Arabidopsis thaliana: one gene and its partners. The protein of the gene in region 4 purifies or fractionates together with the protein of the main gene of each other region. This does not show direct contact. Each region holds a gene or a part of one and is shown on either strand. Other genes may lie near its edges.

What was found.
Region 1: the proteins of AT5G25757 (region 4) and AT1G66070 fractionate together in Arabidopsis thaliana (co-fractionation; one large-scale study listed by BioGRID). This does not show direct contact.
Region 2: the proteins of AT5G25757 (region 4) and AT3G04920 fractionate together in Arabidopsis thaliana (co-fractionation; one large-scale study listed by BioGRID). This does not show direct contact.
Region 3: the proteins of AT5G25757 (region 4) and AT5G28060 fractionate together in Arabidopsis thaliana (co-fractionation; one large-scale study listed by BioGRID). This does not show direct contact.

What each region holds. Positions count from the first base shown.
Region 1 is NC_003070.9:24,595,258-24,600,428, reverse strand, and holds AT1G66070 (Translation initiation factor eIF3 subunit), read left to right. Parts: upstream 1-1,797; 5' UTR 1,798-2,062; intron 2,063-2,850; 5' UTR 2,851-2,908; coding exon 2,909-2,921; intron 2,922-3,119; coding exon 3,120-3,241; intron 3,242-3,368; coding exon 3,369-3,517; intron 3,518-3,640; coding exon 3,641-3,788; intron 3,789-3,879; coding exon 3,880-4,036; intron 4,037-4,143; coding exon 4,144-4,235; 3' UTR 4,236-4,620; downstream 4,621-5,171. Other genes in the region: AT1G66080 (hikeshi-like protein), read left to right, coding at 1-73.
Region 2 is NC_003074.8:1,358,925-1,362,998, reverse strand, and holds AT3G04920 (Ribosomal protein S24e family protein), read right to left. Parts: upstream 2,163-4,074; 5' UTR 2,011-2,162; coding exon 1,939-2,010; intron 1,640-1,938; coding exon 1,598-1,639; intron 1,505-1,597; coding exon 1,334-1,504; coding exon of another isoform or gene 1,280-1,333; exon of another isoform or gene 1,137-1,279; coding exon 1,050-1,136; intron 964-1,049; coding exon 934-963; 3' UTR 550-933; downstream 1-549.
Region 3 is NC_003076.8:10,068,896-10,072,825, forward strand, and holds AT5G28060 (Ribosomal protein S24e family protein), read right to left. Parts: upstream 2,005-3,930; 5' UTR 1,898-2,004; coding exon 1,826-1,897; intron 1,583-1,825; coding exon 1,541-1,582; intron 1,432-1,540; coding exon 1,261-1,431; intron 1,110-1,260; coding exon 1,023-1,109; intron 926-1,022; coding exon 896-925; 3' UTR 545-895; downstream 1-544.
Region 4 is NC_003076.8:8,964,595-8,969,369, forward strand, and holds AT5G25757 (RNA polymerase I-associated factor PAF67), read right to left. Parts: upstream 3,047-4,775; 5' UTR 2,867-3,046; coding exon 2,513-2,866; intron 2,382-2,512; coding exon 1,402-2,381; intron 1,311-1,401; coding exon 1,217-1,310; intron 1,125-1,216; coding exon 1,053-1,124; intron 966-1,052; coding exon 921-965; 3' UTR 551-920; downstream 1-550. Other genes in the region: PEX4 (peroxin4), read left to right, coding at 3,389-3,394, 3,478-3,726, 3,809-3,938, 4,491-4,579; AT5G25770 (alpha/beta-Hydrolases superfamily protein), read right to left, coding at 4,714-4,775.

The DNA of each region.
Region 1 (5,171 bases), on a different chromosome or scaffold from region 4:
GGATCGTTGGTTTAAGAAGTTTCAGGAGAAAGCTAAACGTGATCCTGATTTCCTCAAAAGCTTTGCTTTGTAAGGTTAGCGTTTTTGTAACATTTGATCTTGTGGTTCTATGTGATGAATTGAACAAGAGATTGTAGTTTTACTTTGTTTGTCAATGTTTATTAACTAGTTGATCATACTCTGCTTTTAAGCAATTTAAAGTGTTGAACTTTATATCTTGTTGGTTTGAGGTAGATGAAAAGGTGAAGATTTAATCTGTCTTGTGTTGAGGAATGAATTTTGATTCTTAGTTTTTGATTAGCTCACTTTGGTATACTGTGTGGTTGAATCCATTTGATCTTGGGTTATATATGATGAATTGGAGGAGAGATTGTAGTTTTACTTAGTTTGCTAGTGAGATAATATGAGGGTTATGAATATTTTGGTTTCAGTGTTCTTCTTGCTTACATATGAATCACAGTTTTAGTAGGTGGAATGGTGGATACTGTTTCGTATCTATTGTTCATAAGTTTATACTCTGCTGTTAGAAATTTAAAGTGATGAACTTTCTCTTGTTGTTTTGAGGATTGAGGTAGATGAAAGGGTTAAGATTAAATCTGTTCATGTTTTTATGATGAATCTAAGACAACATTTTAGTTTACTTAGTTTGCCAATGAGAAAATGTGAGAGATATGCATAATTGCTTTCCATGTTCATATTTTTTTCTTCGGTTAATTTAGTGCAATTCAACAGAGGAAGGTTTGACATTTTTTGGTCTAGTAATATATGATTCAGTATTTGGTCAGAGGATAGTTTAACAGTTTCAGTGTTCTAACTCACATTATAAATCATAGTTTTGGTAAGTGGATGCTGTTTCAGATTCTGGTCATGTTCATAGGCTCAATCAACCTTTGATCTTAGCAATATAAAGTGTTGAGCTTTATATCTTGTTGAATCGAGGTAGATGAAAAGTGAAGATTTAATCCATCTTGTGTTGAGGAATGAATCTTGATTCCTAGTTTTTGAGAAGCTTCAGTTTCTTACAGTGTGTACTGTGTGGTTTTACCCGTTTGATCTTAGGTTCTATATGATAAATGGAAGAAGAGATTGTAGTTTATTATAATTTAATCTTATGTTCTATATTTGTTTTCAACGGTTAATTCAATATTTTGTGAGAACTATATGAGTAGTTGCAAAATATGAATCACATATACATTGAGTGGATACTGTTTCAGATTTGGTCATGGTCATAAGCTCAAATGTAGCTCTTAAGTAATTTAAAGTGATGAACTTTATTTTTGTTGCTTAGAGGTGGATGAAAGGTGATGATTTAACTCAGCTTGTGTGTGAGGAATGAATCTTGAATCTTGAATCTTGATTCTTGTCCACTATATCACAGTAGATCGTTAATACATTGATCTAATCGATTGAAGTTGTTGTTTGATATGGTTCTAGATTGGCTTACCAACGGCTTCAATATTCAATGGACCTAAACAATTTGTAGAGTCAAGAAGCTTACAAATATTCGGGATAATCTGACTTGGATGGACAACTCTAGTTGTCTGATACATACGATGAATCAAAATCAAAGCCTTTAACTTAAACTTCAATCTCGAATACATAAGTATTTTCTACAATCGATTGCACACATGTGAGAATACCCTTCAACCCTCATTTGCAAAAAGTACTTAATACTTGGTCAGCAAATTCAAATCATTGTGCAAAAACTCCAAAAAAAAATGATTAAAAACGGAATAAAAAAATGGAGAGTGTAAGATGGAAAAAGTTACATGTTGGGGCCACGGTGATCGGTTCGACCGTATCAGTCTAACCGAAATTGACCAAACAACTTTGGTCTATACTTTGATCGGTTCGACATGTTGGGGCCACGGTGGAAAGGCTTTATAAAAAGGCATAAAATCTAACGAAAAACAAAAGGAAACACACAAAAGCCCTAAATCTCTTTTTAACCTCTGAAGCAAAAACCACCACATCGGAGATTTCTAATCCAACGAAAACGCTTCAATTTTCTTGCGATTTCTCTTCCTCTGCGAAAAACCCTTTTGGATTCAGACTTTCCTCGGTATGTTTTCTTATCAAAGGGTTTTCCTTTCTCAGTTAAATTCGCTTCTAGATCTTAATTTTCGATTGATTCTCTGGTGGGTTTCTATAGAATTGCTCCAAATTATGATTTTGATTTGATTTGATTTCTTAATGTTGGGTTCTCGAATTCATGGTTAATGATTCAAACTTTATCATCAAAACTTCTCTGTGTGTAGTGTAGATTACTATGACCAATTCGTTACTTTTTCTCTGCTCTTTGTTTGCATGATGATGTTCAAGTTGAATCCTTTTTTTATTGAAACAAGGACTTCTTAAGGTTTTAACCATTTTGATTGATTTCGATTGAGGAATTCATATCGATGTTGCAAATCCATAGGATTGGATTACCAAAATCAGAAGGAAATTATTAGTTATGTGTTTAAGATTCTTGTGTTTTGGGGACTGTTTTTGTTTGGTATCTCTCTAAGAGTTCATGGAACTTGTGTTCAGGTTTAGATAGCTGACATGCCTGTAATAGTTTTAATTGATATAAGATATCTTGTCTTTTGTAAGCATTAGATTTAGCTGTTTTTCCTGGGTGTGAAATATTAGGCCTATGTGTTTTTGTTAGCTGTGAAACCTTGATTTGTAAAGTAATAGTATCAGTATTCTCTGTCTATGATGTGAAGTTAGCAAGCTTACTACAAGTAGTTTAAGCATATTTACACATGGGGATCAGTGTATTTGATTATGTGGATTGAATGATTGATCAGTAATGTAGTTTGATCAAATAAGCGTGTTTCTGATGCTTACGCGTATGTTTGGCAGGTTTACCAGTTGGACTCAGATAGAAGCTTATATCTGTACCTGATAATTTGCAGCAAATATGGATGACTGGGGTAAGACTATGCTTTAAGTGTCCTCTCTTATATTCTCTATTTGTATCTAATTATAGTCTTCTTATTTATTTATAGTATTTGATTGGATATGCAAGCAATTTTGGATTATTTGCTAATCTGATGGGTTTCATATTTGATATTTCAAAATCGTATCACTAGCATGTGAGTAGTCTTATAATTTTTATTTTCTGATTCCAGAGGACGAGAAAATTGCACCACTTCCAGCAAAAGTTGAGCTTAAAAGTAACTGGGATGATGAAGATGTGGATGAGAATGAAATTAAGGATTCATGGGAGGATGATGATGATGAACCTGCTCAGGTATAGCTTAGTTTTTACTCTCTGTAATTCTTTCCCTATTGGCTAGTGGCTACTACGTATAATTTGGTTTGAGATTCCAACGGGAATATTTATGTTTTGTCTGCTTTGCCTTGTTGTTTTTCTGTAGCCGCCTGTTATAAATCCTGCTCCGGAGAAGGCTCCTAAGAAAGCAGCCCCCAAAACTGTTGAAAAGAAGGGTAAAGCAGTCGAAGTTCCAAAGGAAGCACCAAAAGAAAAACCTCTAGATCCTATAGCGGAGAAACTTCGCCAGCAGAGGTACAGTTTGTAAATAATATCTTTCCCACACATAATAATTCACTTTAATCTTTTGTACTTTGTGTATGGAAGAAGGCTGTGAAGGTCTATGTGACCTTATATGTTATATTCTTTCTATCACAGGCTTGTTGAGGAAGCCGACTACCGGGCAACTGCTGAGCTCTTTGGAGTGAAGGATGATGACAAAAACCTTGATATGTTTATCCCCAAGTCTGAAAGCGATTTTTTGGAATATGCTGAAATGATTTCTCATAGGATTAAACCATATGAGGTATGTTGTATTCTGCCTTATATACCTTTATTCTCATTGGCTAGTATTGAAGCTCATGATGTGTGAAAATATAGTTTGGTTTCTGTTGCAGAAAAGTTATCACTATATAGCGCTGCTCAAAACAATCATGAGACTTTCATTGACCAACATGAAAGCAGCTGATGTTAAAGATGTTGCTTCGTCCATTACAACGATAGCAAATGAAAAACTAAAGGCAGAGAAAGAAGCTGCTGCGGGAAAAAAGAAAGGTATTATTCTGAATGTGTTACTCACAATCACTTCATCTTTGGTTTATAGTTTTATGAATGTGTTATTCTGAATCCGTTTTTCATGACCATTGGCATTGCTTGATCAGGTGGAAAGAAGAAACAACTTATTGTAGATAAGGCCAATGACGATCTAGTGGCTGGTCCTTATGATGCCATGGATGACTTCGACTTCATGTAGATTAAAAGAGCTTTTTGAGCAAATGCAAATTGGATTTGTCCAGCGTCTATTTTATCATTTATCTATCACTCAAAAGAAACACATTTTTCTTAATTTTGGTTTGAATAGAGCAAGAAGAGCCAAATTTCTGGTTGCGGAAATATATAGTTGGAACATGGGAAGCTTTTGTTTTGGTTTGGTCTGGGAATTCTCTAGAGTCATGTTTTTGGTTCTATTTGTTGGTTGAAAAAGCTATACTTAAAGTGTCCGTATAAATTTATTATTGACATTGATCTGATTAAATCTCTTTGGGGGTTGAATTTCTTATAGACATGAGTGCGTTTCATGTTGTCCAATCTTTAAATACTGCCTCTTGAGTAAGAGAGAAAATGTTGATTCGTTACAATTCGCTAATGTTAGTAGTAAACCTTGAAACACGCTAATATCATCATGACTTTACATTAGCTAATAACATAAAGATGTGAATGGGAATGACATAAAGAATTCATGGGAGGATGATGATGAGTTTTTAACTAAGGAACTCTAATTCCTTACTAGTTAATTTCCAACAACAACACAGTGACTGTATTGTTTAATCTTCTTAATTGGTGGTTGAGTTGCTTCTTCTTCTTCTTCGGACTCTGTGTTGTTTCCTCCGGAAGACATTGTGTCAACAACTTCAGCCTCTTCCACATTCTCTTTTAGGAGAAAGATTAGTGGGATTGATTAAAGAAAGTAATCATATGAATTGATTGATATAATTCTCTGTAATGTAGACTCTTAAATATGTTACAATATCTACTCTCTAAGATATTCTTTTTATAAGAATCTTTTAAAACTTCAAGAAGATTCATTTAATGATTTCCAGTAATGGTGAAGAAAAATATCCAACTAAAAACAAAAAAAAGCAGAAAAATATCCTATCCTATCATTATCCTAATTTTAGAAAAAAATAAA
Region 2 (4,074 bases), on a different chromosome or scaffold from region 4:
TCGAGATCAGCTCCGATGAGATGGAGAAGAGACCAAGAAGAAGAGGAACCAGATCCAGATTGGAGAGAAGGTGGTGTGTTCGTTCACGAGGATTGTGATTGGGTTGGGTGGTAGGGGCGTGAGAATCTTCGACCAAACCAGGGGTAGTTTTGGTATTTCCAGACTTAACGTTTAAGACTAGGCAAAGTGGTCACCCACTACTTACACACACGCGCTTCCTTATTTGCGGATTGGTTGGAGCCGTGACGTCCTCACTCGGTCCCAACCACACTCGGTAACTAATAGCGTTTTCTAAACGCGGTTATTTGGTAGAGCGTTTTCATTAACGTGATTAGCTAGGACAAAACAAACAAACAAGCCAACCTAAACCGTATGTAACTAATAAGACAGTACCCAAAACCAAAATAAGCATATGTTGTGCGGTATAGAAAATTATAATTACTGTTCAAATTCAGTGATTGACATGTAATTATCACAGTTTTTCCATTAAAATAGTAAGGAGCAAAAGTGATATAATAAATTAGAAACTTTGCGAGATTTCATAATTATGATCTAAGTAAATTTTCATTATATGTGGGTAAATAACATCGATAATAGCCAGAGAGACTCACGTTTACAATCAAACACAGCCGCACGAGTAACCGATCAAGAATTAAATCACCTAAGGAACAAGAAAATGCTTATATCTGCTGCGCATGGGAATGGTGGAAAGAGACGAGAGAGAGATTAAATAGTTGTATTGAACAAAAACCTTGGATCATATGTTTCTCTAAACTCAAAACATAAACTGACCAAAACAAAAATAAACGAAAATCTCAGATTTCAGTAAACATGTCTAGTTGGAGAAACGATCTAACAGCGGACAAATAACATAAAAGGTGATTGATTATGGAGAACAAGAACCCACAAGATAAAGATTCTCTCTTCAGGATCTCACTTCTTCTTGGCATCACCAGCCTTTGTCTGCAAACATTGATCAAAACAGATTCTTAAAGCTACAGTCACAATCAAAAACAGAAGATAGCAAGAGGGAAAACCAGTATACATACCTTCTTAACACCACGGATTTTCTTCGCCCTGTTCTTCCTTTCCTTAATTTGTTTCCTTGACTTCTCAATCTTAGTGTCAAGTCCATTCTGCCAACCACATAGACAAAGCATGTTTAAGTATAAAGATGCAGAGAACACCAAGTGCAATACGATATAAAGTCCGAAACTTATCACATAGCTTATAATTTTCAGACAAACAGTAATGAGCAAGAGTAATGATTTAAGACGGGTCAATGTGAGTAGCAATATATAACAATGGAAACAAGAGTGGAAAAAGCATTTACCCTGATAAGTCTGTATTTGGGTTCAAACTTCTTAGCGCTCTCAACAGTATCATAGATCAAACCAAACCCGGATGATTTACCACCTCCAAAGTGGGTTCTGAATTTGAATACGAAGATTGCATTTGGATCCTTGACCTCGTACATCCTTGCTAGCTTCTCCTTCAGCTCAGCCTTGCAAAAATAAAACCAACTCTCCCGTTAGAACCTCTCATAGTCTATCAGAACTCGAAATAGATGAAGTAACAAAGTGAGTAAAGAACAAACCTTTGAAACATTGGCTCTTCCAGGGTGAAGAACATCAATAACCTATATTTTCAACAATCCACCATAACTTAGAATTTCATTCCAAAATCTCAAACGGAACTAAATTGCGCCAGATCAATACTATATGATCTAAACACTATCTATGCTTTAACATTAGGTCGTAAATCTGAAAGCCTGACCTAAAACATCAAACCCCAATTATAAAAATTTGACGAGACAACGAATGCATTCTCTCGAGATTGGGTTCATATCAAATTATAACTAGATTCCCATTAAAACAAAACCCAGAAGAACAAAAATGATATGCAGATAGAGAAGAGAAAAAAAATAATGGAACTCACGAACTGCTTCCTGGAGAGAAGTCTGTTGGTCATGAATTTCCTGGTTCGGATGGTGACCGCCTTTTCAGCCATTTTTGCTACTTCTCAAGGATTAAAGTGAAAGATCTCTGCAAGCTTGAGTGTTTTCGTCCGCTCAGGTGAAGGAAAGAGACGCCGAATCGAAGTCGGAGCTTTTATATAGTTACAAGTTCCTTAGGGTTTCTTTTGTGTTCTCTTTGTATGGGCCTCAACTTTTAATTTGGGCTTACTTAATCCTAGCCGTTTGGTTTTCTAGGTTTGATTAATAAACATTTACATGGGAAAATAAAACGAAGCCCACTGGGCCTAAAATATTTATAGCCTAGTGTCACAAACAATTGTCATTGGACATTGGTTAAAGTCTTTGTTTCCCCCACGCCACGAGTCAATATTTTCTGTACATAACACAAAACTGGGGTTCATTAATGCTACGAATTCAGCAATTTTGAGTTAGAATTAACCAATGTCAAACACTTAAGACTAAATGACAGTTTAATGTGTATATGTATAGTTGTGTTCAGCTGATTAGAACTAATTAACTTGTACTTTGACACTTAATATAAACTTTTGGGAAAAGAAAAACACAAACGGCTAAGAAACTTTTATTTTATTTTATTCGTTGTGCTTTGGTGTTTTACACTTACAATGTAGGGAATAATCATTTTTTGTCTTGTCAACGTGTTACTTTTACTATTTAACAAATAAGAATTGTTTGCCGGAGTTATTGCAAAGAAATATTATGAAACTTTTGGGAAAGAAGAGTAATTATTAAAGCTCAAAAGAAACTATTATAAAACAGAATATAATGTTTTGATCTTGTTAAGCCACGAGTGTGTTAAAATGAGTTGGCTTCCACCGCAAAAGATCATTTGAAGGTTGTACTGATCAGATTTCGACCATTCGCTGGAACATGTATAAATTTTAAGATCGCCAAATATATATATGAGGACAAAATTTAATAACACCATCTATTCGTTGATTATTAGTTGCTGGTAGTGATGAGACCCTCTTGCATTATATTCATAATAATGGATAGACACAAAATAATATATTTATAAAGTAACAAGGAAAATCTTGAGGGAAAGATTATAAGGACCGACAAGAAAATGAATGGAGGGAAGATATGAGAAGAATGGTTGGCACTGAACAAGTGTGTGTTGGAGTTGGGTACGAATAGAAGTACGTTGATCTGTACATTCAATACCCACATGCATGTCATCAATTAACGACCATTTTACCATTTTGCTTTCTTAGCCTATTATCTACTATTAAGATCAATTATTGTTATCTTCTTTTAATGGGTCAACCTAATTCAATTCTTCGTATGTCCCTACTGCCATTTTTCATTATCTTTTTTATTCGTTTTAGTTCCATTGAATTTTCTTGACGCGTATAACATAAATTTTCAAGTTTGAATTTGTACAGGGTATATATTATATATATTAGATATTAAAAATTTGTTTTAAAAGTATTATAGCTATTGGTTTTTAAATATACTAAATTACATATATTAGATATTAAAAATATATCATTTTACTTTATTAATTAAATAATGCTAATATATATATATAATTTACATATATATATATATATATATTTCACAAATTTCAACCATAAATATTAAATAAACTGCAAACAAAAATTGTATTTTTACTAATTTACTAGTTTACACAAAATATATAATTGAAGTGTAGTTACTAATTTTACAATATAGAAACATATCTTAAAAGTTTATCAAAAGTTAAATTGGAATACGAAAGATTAATTAAAGAAAAAAAGCAAAGTTTTACAGTTACTTAGAAAAATTAAGAAGAAAAGTAAAACAAAAAAAATGCAACTATTTAAAAGAAACAACAAAATGTAAGAAACAACTAAACAAAAAGATGTATCGGATGTAGCAACAAACAAAAAAAAAAAATTAAAGAAAAAAGCAAAACAAAAAACTACAGAAGGGAATCGATCTCAACATTTTAATATTGTATGGGGCACTAAATGAATTCTTATTACCAAATGAATTATGGTAACTAAATGTATAATGATCAATTATGTTTTTTCAAAATTTAGCATGGGGCACGTGCCCACCCTCCTCTGATAGTAGATCCGCCCCTGGACAATAAC
Region 3 (3,930 bases), 1.1 Mb from region 4:
TTAACTTAGACCATCTCCATTGATTAGAGACTGTGAAAGTCTCTCCAAAATAATATTTTAATGTAATTTAGTTTTTGATTTAATTTTTAATTCATGAAAAAATAAACTAATTGATATATAACACATGACATAATGAACTTCTCATCGTTTTTCTCCTCTCTTATACTTTTTCTATTCTTTTAATATTATTTTGGTAGAAATATCTAATTCTTATAAAAAAGTTTATATAACTTTTCAATAAACATATTCACTATCTAGTATTTGTAAATCAATATCTAGTTCTTATAAATCAATATCTAGTATTTTACATGTTAAGTCTCCCAAATGGGTTCCTTACTTCCTTCTTGTAAAATCCCTAAATTTTTCCAATGGTTTTTCGGTTTAACATGAGACAAGGAAACATCTATTTTGCTTATTTAGATTGTTGTATCCGTCATCGATGTTGCGTTGGTGGAAAATGATAAACCTTTGAATGGTTCATTGATATACATTTGAAAATGCAGAAAGTTGAGTTCTTTAGAATATTGCAGTCAAAAATAGAATTCCCCTGTGAAACCAGAACGTAGTCTTTTTTTCTTTATTCTCATGACAACTAATGAATTTCAAGTAGAATCCAACTTTTAATCTTGTGGTATGTGGTAGCAAAAATTGAAAAGTTGAACAATAGTCTCAATCTCCGAAACGCAAGAGGATGAAGTTTAAAATCAATGTATTCAAACAAAATCTTAACCACATGTTTCTCTAAAACAAGATCCAAACCAAAATAGAGCAAGTGTGACAAAAAGAAGCACAAAATCGAGAAATAATTAGAAGATGTCTAATAGCAAACATGGCTTCAAAGAAGGAGTGATGCAGAACAAAAACCATATTGCTGCTTTTGTCCTCTTCAAACGTCTTACTTCTTCTTGGTATCACCAGCCTTGGTCTACACTCACAAAACAATGCAAATATCGTTAAGACAAAACAGGCACAAACATAACAATAGCAAATGTAGATTTCTGGTTAGTGTTGGTCTCTCTTACCTTCTTAACACCACGGATCTTCTTCGCCCTGTTCTTCCTCTCCTTGATCTGTTTCCTTGATTTCTCAATCTTGGTGTCAAGTCCATTCTGTCAATCACATCAACAATCATTTCAGTATGAGATTGCAACACCATTGTTTCATCGCAAAGCAGTGAAAATCAAAGCACCAAGAGTAAGCTAGACTAAAAACTAGAACCAAAAGTTTTACTTAACTATCAAACAAGTAAAGAGAAATTACCCTGATAAGTCTGTACTTAGGCTCAAACTTCTTAGCGTTCTCGACAGTATCATAGATCAAACCATATCCAGAAGATTTACCACCTCCAAAGTGAGTTCTGAACTTGAAACAGAAGATAGCATTTGGGTCCTTAACCTCATACATCCTCGCCAATTTCTCCTTAAGCTCAGCCTTCAAACAAGTAAAGCCCCACCCAGTACACAACATCACTAAGAAACAATACACAACTGCACAAGCTTGGATTGTAATCAACACAAGCCAATGTACGTAAAGAACATACCTTTGAAACATTGGCTCTTCCAGGATGAAGAACATCAATAACCTACATTAATTGATTCAAAATCTGATGATTAATACTCCAAATGCAACATCGAAATGAATCCAAATACTAAACATCAAACCTAAAAGTTGCAAAATTCAAAATTTCCTCTAGCAATACATCAAAATGATCAATGAATCTGTTCTTATAAGATTGTTTCTACCTAAACTATAGTTTTTATCATTCGATACAGCGAAGACGTAACACTGTGAGATTGCAAAATGGAACATAGAGATGGGAACTCACGAATTGCTTTCTGGCGAGAAGCCTGTTGGTCATGAAGTTTCTGGTCCTGATAGTGACAGCTTTTTCCGCCATGGCTGCGATTTACTTTCCGAGATCAGTCTCTGAGCTCCGGTTTTGAAAATCGACGAGTTTCGCAGCGGCTTTGGAAGGAGGAGCACACTAAACCCTAGATTATTTATATATAGCTCTCTTTCAGATTATTAGGGTTGGTTTCGTTTGATGGGCCGAATTTAATTGGGCCTTACAATATCCATGCCCAGAGAATAGATTAGTTTGTTTCGGGTTTGATATACAAAGACAAAACAATTGTCTATTTTGATCATTCATGTTATAAAAACATACTTTCATATTTTATTTGATTAACGAACGACAATATCATTGTATACTGTATAATTATTTCTAATCTTTTGTTTACTTATTTTTGATTTTTATTTTCTAGAAATTTTCTTTTAATTAATTTAATTCAAATAAACATATATATTATAAATTGATTAGCTGCAAGAAGTTTTTAAAGTTTTTCCATGTGTTTATGTCAATTAAATGAAAAATATTTAAGAGGAAGCTACATGGCATAAGACAAATTGCAATCACATCTTCTCTCGATTCTTTTCATTTCAACCAAAACAATCATATGTCATCCTTCAATCCTAGCATATATTACCACGTCATAACGATTCTACACAAATTGTCATGTTAGAGCAGGTCCATTGGGGATTGAAAATTTCTTATCAAGAATCCTTAGCAAAATAAGACAAAATTTAAATGAAACATGTGATATAAACTTACGAACGACCTAAGCTTAGAGTTTTTTTTGGTGTTAAGGTTCGATGACGTGTCCATTTCTCATTGGACGCGTGTTTTGACAAAACAATATTTTTTTTTCAGTTGCCTGTGGTTTTTCTCATTTCTGGATATCTCTATTCTCTTCTTTGGTGCGATGGCGATTGAACGGTCTCTGATGATCATCAGCCTCACGCGTTCATGTTCATCAAATCGGAAGAGAATATCAACGAAATTCGTCTCTTATCCACTGTCCTCATCATCTCAACCGACGGTGGTCAACATGGACGAGTTTGGTGAACCAAATCGGAGAGAAAACGTGCATAAATTGGAGATTTGTGTCAAGCCATGGTCCAATCAAATTCTGAATATATAGATCTAACAATTTAATTGTGTATATCGGGATTAATTAGGGTTATTGTTAGATTTTATCAAAATTAGGGTTTCCTGAATAGGGAATTTTAGAAGATAAATTAGGGTTAATTGATGGTAATTGTTGACATTTCTAAGACAAGAATAGATTGATACTCATTGAGCTTATTAGAAGAGAAATTGAATAGCTCATGAAAAGCTTTATTGTGCAAAGAATCTAAAGAGAGAGAGAGAAGCTTTAAGATTGTCTAGAAGAACAAAAATGATTTTGATTGTGATTCATATAAATGTTTGAGGGTGACTGCTCAGAGAGGCAGCCTTGGTTACATGACAACATCATAGATATATATATATATATATATATATCTTATTATATAAAGTACGGAGTTACTAACTCACGAGATCATGACACGTGTCAGGTCTATCATTGAGATGTTGACATATGTTAAAAAAAAGTTTCTTTAAAAAAAAAAAAACATATTTACATATACTAATTTATAGTTCTATATCTAAAAAATTTAACTTATAATTTTTTTAATTAAAAAGGAAAACTAACAATAAGATGAAGTGTATAGAATTAAATTTTATTTGTATTGAAAAATTGGATTGTATTTGAATTGTATACAATCGAACTAAATTGTATTGTATTATGATAAAAAAGATATTTAAATTGTATTGTAAAATCGAATTTGTAAGATTGAAATTTAGTTTAAGGAAATACTAAATTAAATACTGAAAAATATGAGTTACAATTTAAAATTCAAATATCATCAATAAGTTGGAGTGTATAAAATTAAAAAGCAGTTTATTATGATGAAAGAGATAGTTAAAATGTATAGTAAAATTGAATGTGTATGATTGAAATTTTATTTAATTCAAAAATTACTAAATTAAATATTAGAAAAAGTGTGTGGATCACTATTTACTATTCAAATTTTAAATATTATCGATAA
Region 4 (4,775 bases):
GAAAGTTGCAATAAAGAGATATAACCAAAAAAAAATAACCGTCAATTGTTTTACGAAGTTACGATAAAAAGACAAACGAAAAATAACCATCGATATTAACAGAAAGTTACGATGAGAAAACACAAATAAAAAGTAACGATAAAAAGACAATAAAGAAAAAAATAACCGTCTATATAAATAGAAAGTTATGATAAAAAGACACAAACGAAAAAAGTAGTTATCCCCACCAAAAAATAACTGTTAATATTAAAATGACTGATACAAACGAAAAGTTGCGATAAAAATGTACTAAAAAAAAAAATAACCGGCAATGTTAGCGGAAAGTTACGATGAAAAGACATGAACACATAAATAATCGTCAACATTTTTAACTAAATGTTGTGATAATAAAATACAACCGTTCAGAACAGCAAAACACAATTTTTTGGATTCATCATAAAACAAATAATTTGTGGTAAAAGACTTTACGTCATTTGTTCTCTTTTGGTTTTTTGTTCACCTGTTTGTTTGTTATAGAAGAAAGTGACTTTAATGAATTAGCGATGAAACAATTATAAATGATTCGATGACACTACAATTTCACTATTGTTGATGAGATTGAGACAATCATATAATTTTCTAACAGAAGAACAAGAAAGCTTGCACATCTTAAACGGAAAAAGTTGTACTACTGAAGACTAAACTCGTCGTTGGCATATAGAAACAGGACAAATAGTTCGAAAGGAACTCGATCAAAAACTGAACTGCCATACTCAATATGAAAAAAAAAAATGGCAATAATTCAAAACAAAAATGATTTATGGTTGAAATTTGAAGACAGTTACTCAAAAAGTGTTTGGCTCCAGGTAAACTTATGGTTTATAAGAGAAAGCATCATATCAGATTGGGCATTGATAATTAGGTGTAACACAGAAAAGTCGTCATTCCAGCTTGACACGATCCATGTCGTTGATCACACCTTCAAGCTGCGCAATGGAGGAAAAAAAAGAAGAGCCAAAGATCAAAACAAGAGTTCATGTGCACTAGTCTTAGTTTCAGTTTATACAACATACCTTGGCAATCTGCCGCAAGAAGAAATCACCATAACGTTTTGCGGGTTTTGATTCGACAACGTAGATCATGTCCTGCAGTGTCACCAGGTTTAGAGTTGTTACAAACGTTGTAAAAGCACCAGAGTATAGATATCAGAAAGACAGAGAGAGAAGAAAGAACATACGTTGTTGATGAAGAAATCAATGTCTGCATTGGAGATGATCCTACCATCGGAATCAACTGAATGGGTCTTGTGCTTGTATGTTAACAATATGGTCCTGCAAATTAAAACCCCGTACATGTCAAAGAAAAAGAGAGAAGTAGATTTGGTAATAATAGTTATAAGAATGCCCATAGTTAGTCCCTGACCTTAGAGTGGGCTCATCAACTTCCATGTAGTTTGCGAGCTTAGCAAGAGAAATGGAGGAGTAGACTTTCAGGAAAGTCCGCACTCCCGACAAGAGCTGCTGCTGCTTTACCTCGTAAAGGAACATCTTCAGCTGAAGCCTGTATGCATCCTGATTGTAATTGACAAGAGGTTCCTCGAAAGTTGGTGGTGCGGAAGGGGTGATAAACTTGGGGCATGCGTAAGAGAAGAGCTCATCATAAATACCAAAGGCCTCGTCGTCAGACCTCAGCATCCTCATCATCTTTTCACCATACTTGTCTCGCAGCTGAGAGTTGACAGACTCGTCAACGAGTTTAGTTTGAGGGCAGAGGGAGAGGGAGAGAGCAAGCAAAGCGTACATCTGCTCATTCTTCTTGAGTAATTGCTCGTACTGAGGTGACTTTTGATGGTACTGCTTAGTCTTGAAAATGTAGAGGAGAATCTTGTTGAACTCACGAACAGCATCGACATACCTCCGCAACATAAGGGTGGCAAATCCATAGTGGTAGATAGTAGCGATATGGCAACCAATGACACTGGTGTAAACACCTGGCTGAGTGATGTCAATGGGCTGCAACCATTTGAGAGCAGTGTGGTAGTCACCGAGGAGGCAGTGAACACGCAAGAGACCGACCATGCTGAAGTAACCGAGGACCTTCAAGACGTTGCTGCCACCGCTGAAATCGTAGCCATCAGTCTCAGTGAACTCAAGGCCATCCTTGTCATGCTCAAGGATCTGGATGATACAAGACTTCTCCACAAGTGCTTGCAAGAAGTTGAGCACGCCATAGACATTCCAGGCCTTATCGTGCTGTCTGAGCAATGCAATCTCCTCCTCTGTTTTGTTCTTGAGCTTTGCTCTGAATTGACAGAAACTTTGGAACTGGTAGACAAACTCATCCACCATATCCCACAACCACTGGTTCGGCAACTGCATATTCACTACGCCGTGCAACACAACCTAGAAAGAACAAACGGAAGAAGGTCTACTTACTTGTATTTATTCCCAGCCAATACATACACAAAAGAAATCAAAATCAACAACATCTCTATCTAACAAGGAAGAAGAAGTAGAAGAATTCCACAACAGACCTGAAAGAGGCTGCAATAGTTGTCATAAGAATCAATCCTCTGCTTCAACGTCGGAGACAACCTCGCATACAAATGTCGAAACCACATCTCACGGTACAGAAGACAGAACACATGGTCGTTGTCTACGTAAGGAGCAATCGCTTCCACACTTGGCCACGGCGTGTCCTTGAACAGACGCTCCGATATGCTCTGGAACGATGTCTCACACATCTGGTGGATCTCGTACACGTTCTTATCCCTTATGTGTCTGTACATGTGTGACACGAACGACTTCACCGAATCCGGCACCATATTTGGGTCGTACCCACTCTCCCTCTCCCCCGGACCTTCCTCATACTCATTGCTGCTCGCCATTCTCGCCGGATCAATTCTTAGCGGCCGCAACAATGTTAGCTCTTAACTCACTACCACCGCCTAGGGTTTCCTTATTACCACCGGTTCTATCATCCGGTTTCGTTTCCTTATTACCACCGGTTCTATCATCCGGTTATGTTTTTTTATAAAGTCATTTTAATAAAACTTTCTATGGTTCGGAAAAAAAAAACTTCACATAATCATCGCTATTCTCTCTCTCTCTCTCTCTCTCTCTCTCTCTCGCTCTCATATTTGCAGGTAAAGCTTCGTTGATTCGTCCTCTTTATGTTCAATTATAGTTTCGCATCCCTCCTATGTCTTTCTTTCTAGATCTTAAAGCAGAGTCATTGCTTAACCCTAATTATCACTGTTCTTGTATAAAACACTTTTCACCTAATCATTGAGATTGTTACGGGATCTGATAATTGCGTCTGTGAATTACAAGAAATTAGGGTTTATTTCTTCTTGATTTTAGATTGATCTTTTTGCAGTTGACAATTCGTTCTCTTTGGGAAATTAGAGATGCAGGTAAATTGCTTAATTTTTTTTTTGTTTTGTTGCAAATTCTCTGTGTATGTTTATGATTTGATTTGATTTGATTGATGTAATAGGCATCAAGAGCGCGACTGTTTAAAGAATACAAAGAGGTACAGCGAGAGAAAGTAGCAGATCCTGATATTCAATTGATCTGTGACGATACCAACATATTCAAATGGACCGCTCTTATCAAAGGACCTTCGGAGACTCCTTACGAAGGCGGTGTTTTTCAGCTTGCTTTTTCTGTTCCTGAACCTTATCCTTTGCAACCTCCTCAAGTTCGATTCTTGACCAAGATATTCCATCCTAATGTTCATTTCAAGGTTTGCATCTCTTTTTATAACAACCTTCTCCTGTGATAAAAGGAAACGCAGGTTTTTTAGTTAGTACTTGGGAATTTTGTAGACAGGAGAAATATGTCTCGACATTTTGAAGAATGCTTGGAGTCCTGCTTGGACGCTTCAGTCTGTGTGTAGAGCTATCATAGCATTGATGGCTCATCCTGAGCCGGACAGTCCTCTTAACTGCGACTCAGGTACAAAATGCTAGTTTAGTGTTTTCAAAAATGTAACCATGGGCGTTCGGGTATTCGGTTTGGTTCCCGTTCGGTTCTAGTTCGGTTCCGATTCTTTCTGTTCTCGATTTTAGGATCCATATAGGAACCGAAACAGTTTCAGTTCGGTTCAGGTTCGGGTTCGGTTCTGAAGTTTAGGATCCATTAGAATATTTTATTTCGAATATTTCAGATATTTTTTGTCTTTTTTTCCGGATATTTTGGTGTTTTTATATATTTTTCCTTATTTGGGTATTTTTGATTATTCAAACTAAAAATAACTAATATCTTTGGATATATAATCATATTTCGGATACGCAAAATATTTTGGTTCGGTTCGGGTTCAGTTCTAATTACTTTGGTTCTAGAATTTAGGATCTATTTGAGTAGTTTACCATTTCGGGTCGGATTCGGGTTGCTTCAGTTCGGATTCGGTTCTTTCAGTTTGATTATTATGCCCATGCCTAGTTTTTATAGTAAGCAACTGTTTTTTTTTTCTACTGACGCTTTTGTTGTGGTTGCTATGGAAAAAAGGGAATCTTCTAAGATCTGGTGATGTGAGAGGGTTCAATTCAATGGCACAAATGTATACACGCCTCGCCGCTATGCCTAAGAAAGGATGATGATGATGATGATCCTCTTGCTTTTTTTTTGTTTTTTTTTTTGAAATTTGTAATGATATTGATTTGCGAGAGTGAATACATTATTAACGAGAAGAAGATGATTCTTCTTTATTAGTTCACAATATTACAATCTGTCAAGTTGTCATATCTTCTTGTTTAAGGAATTTGTCAAACCAGTCTGATGATTCTTTGATCA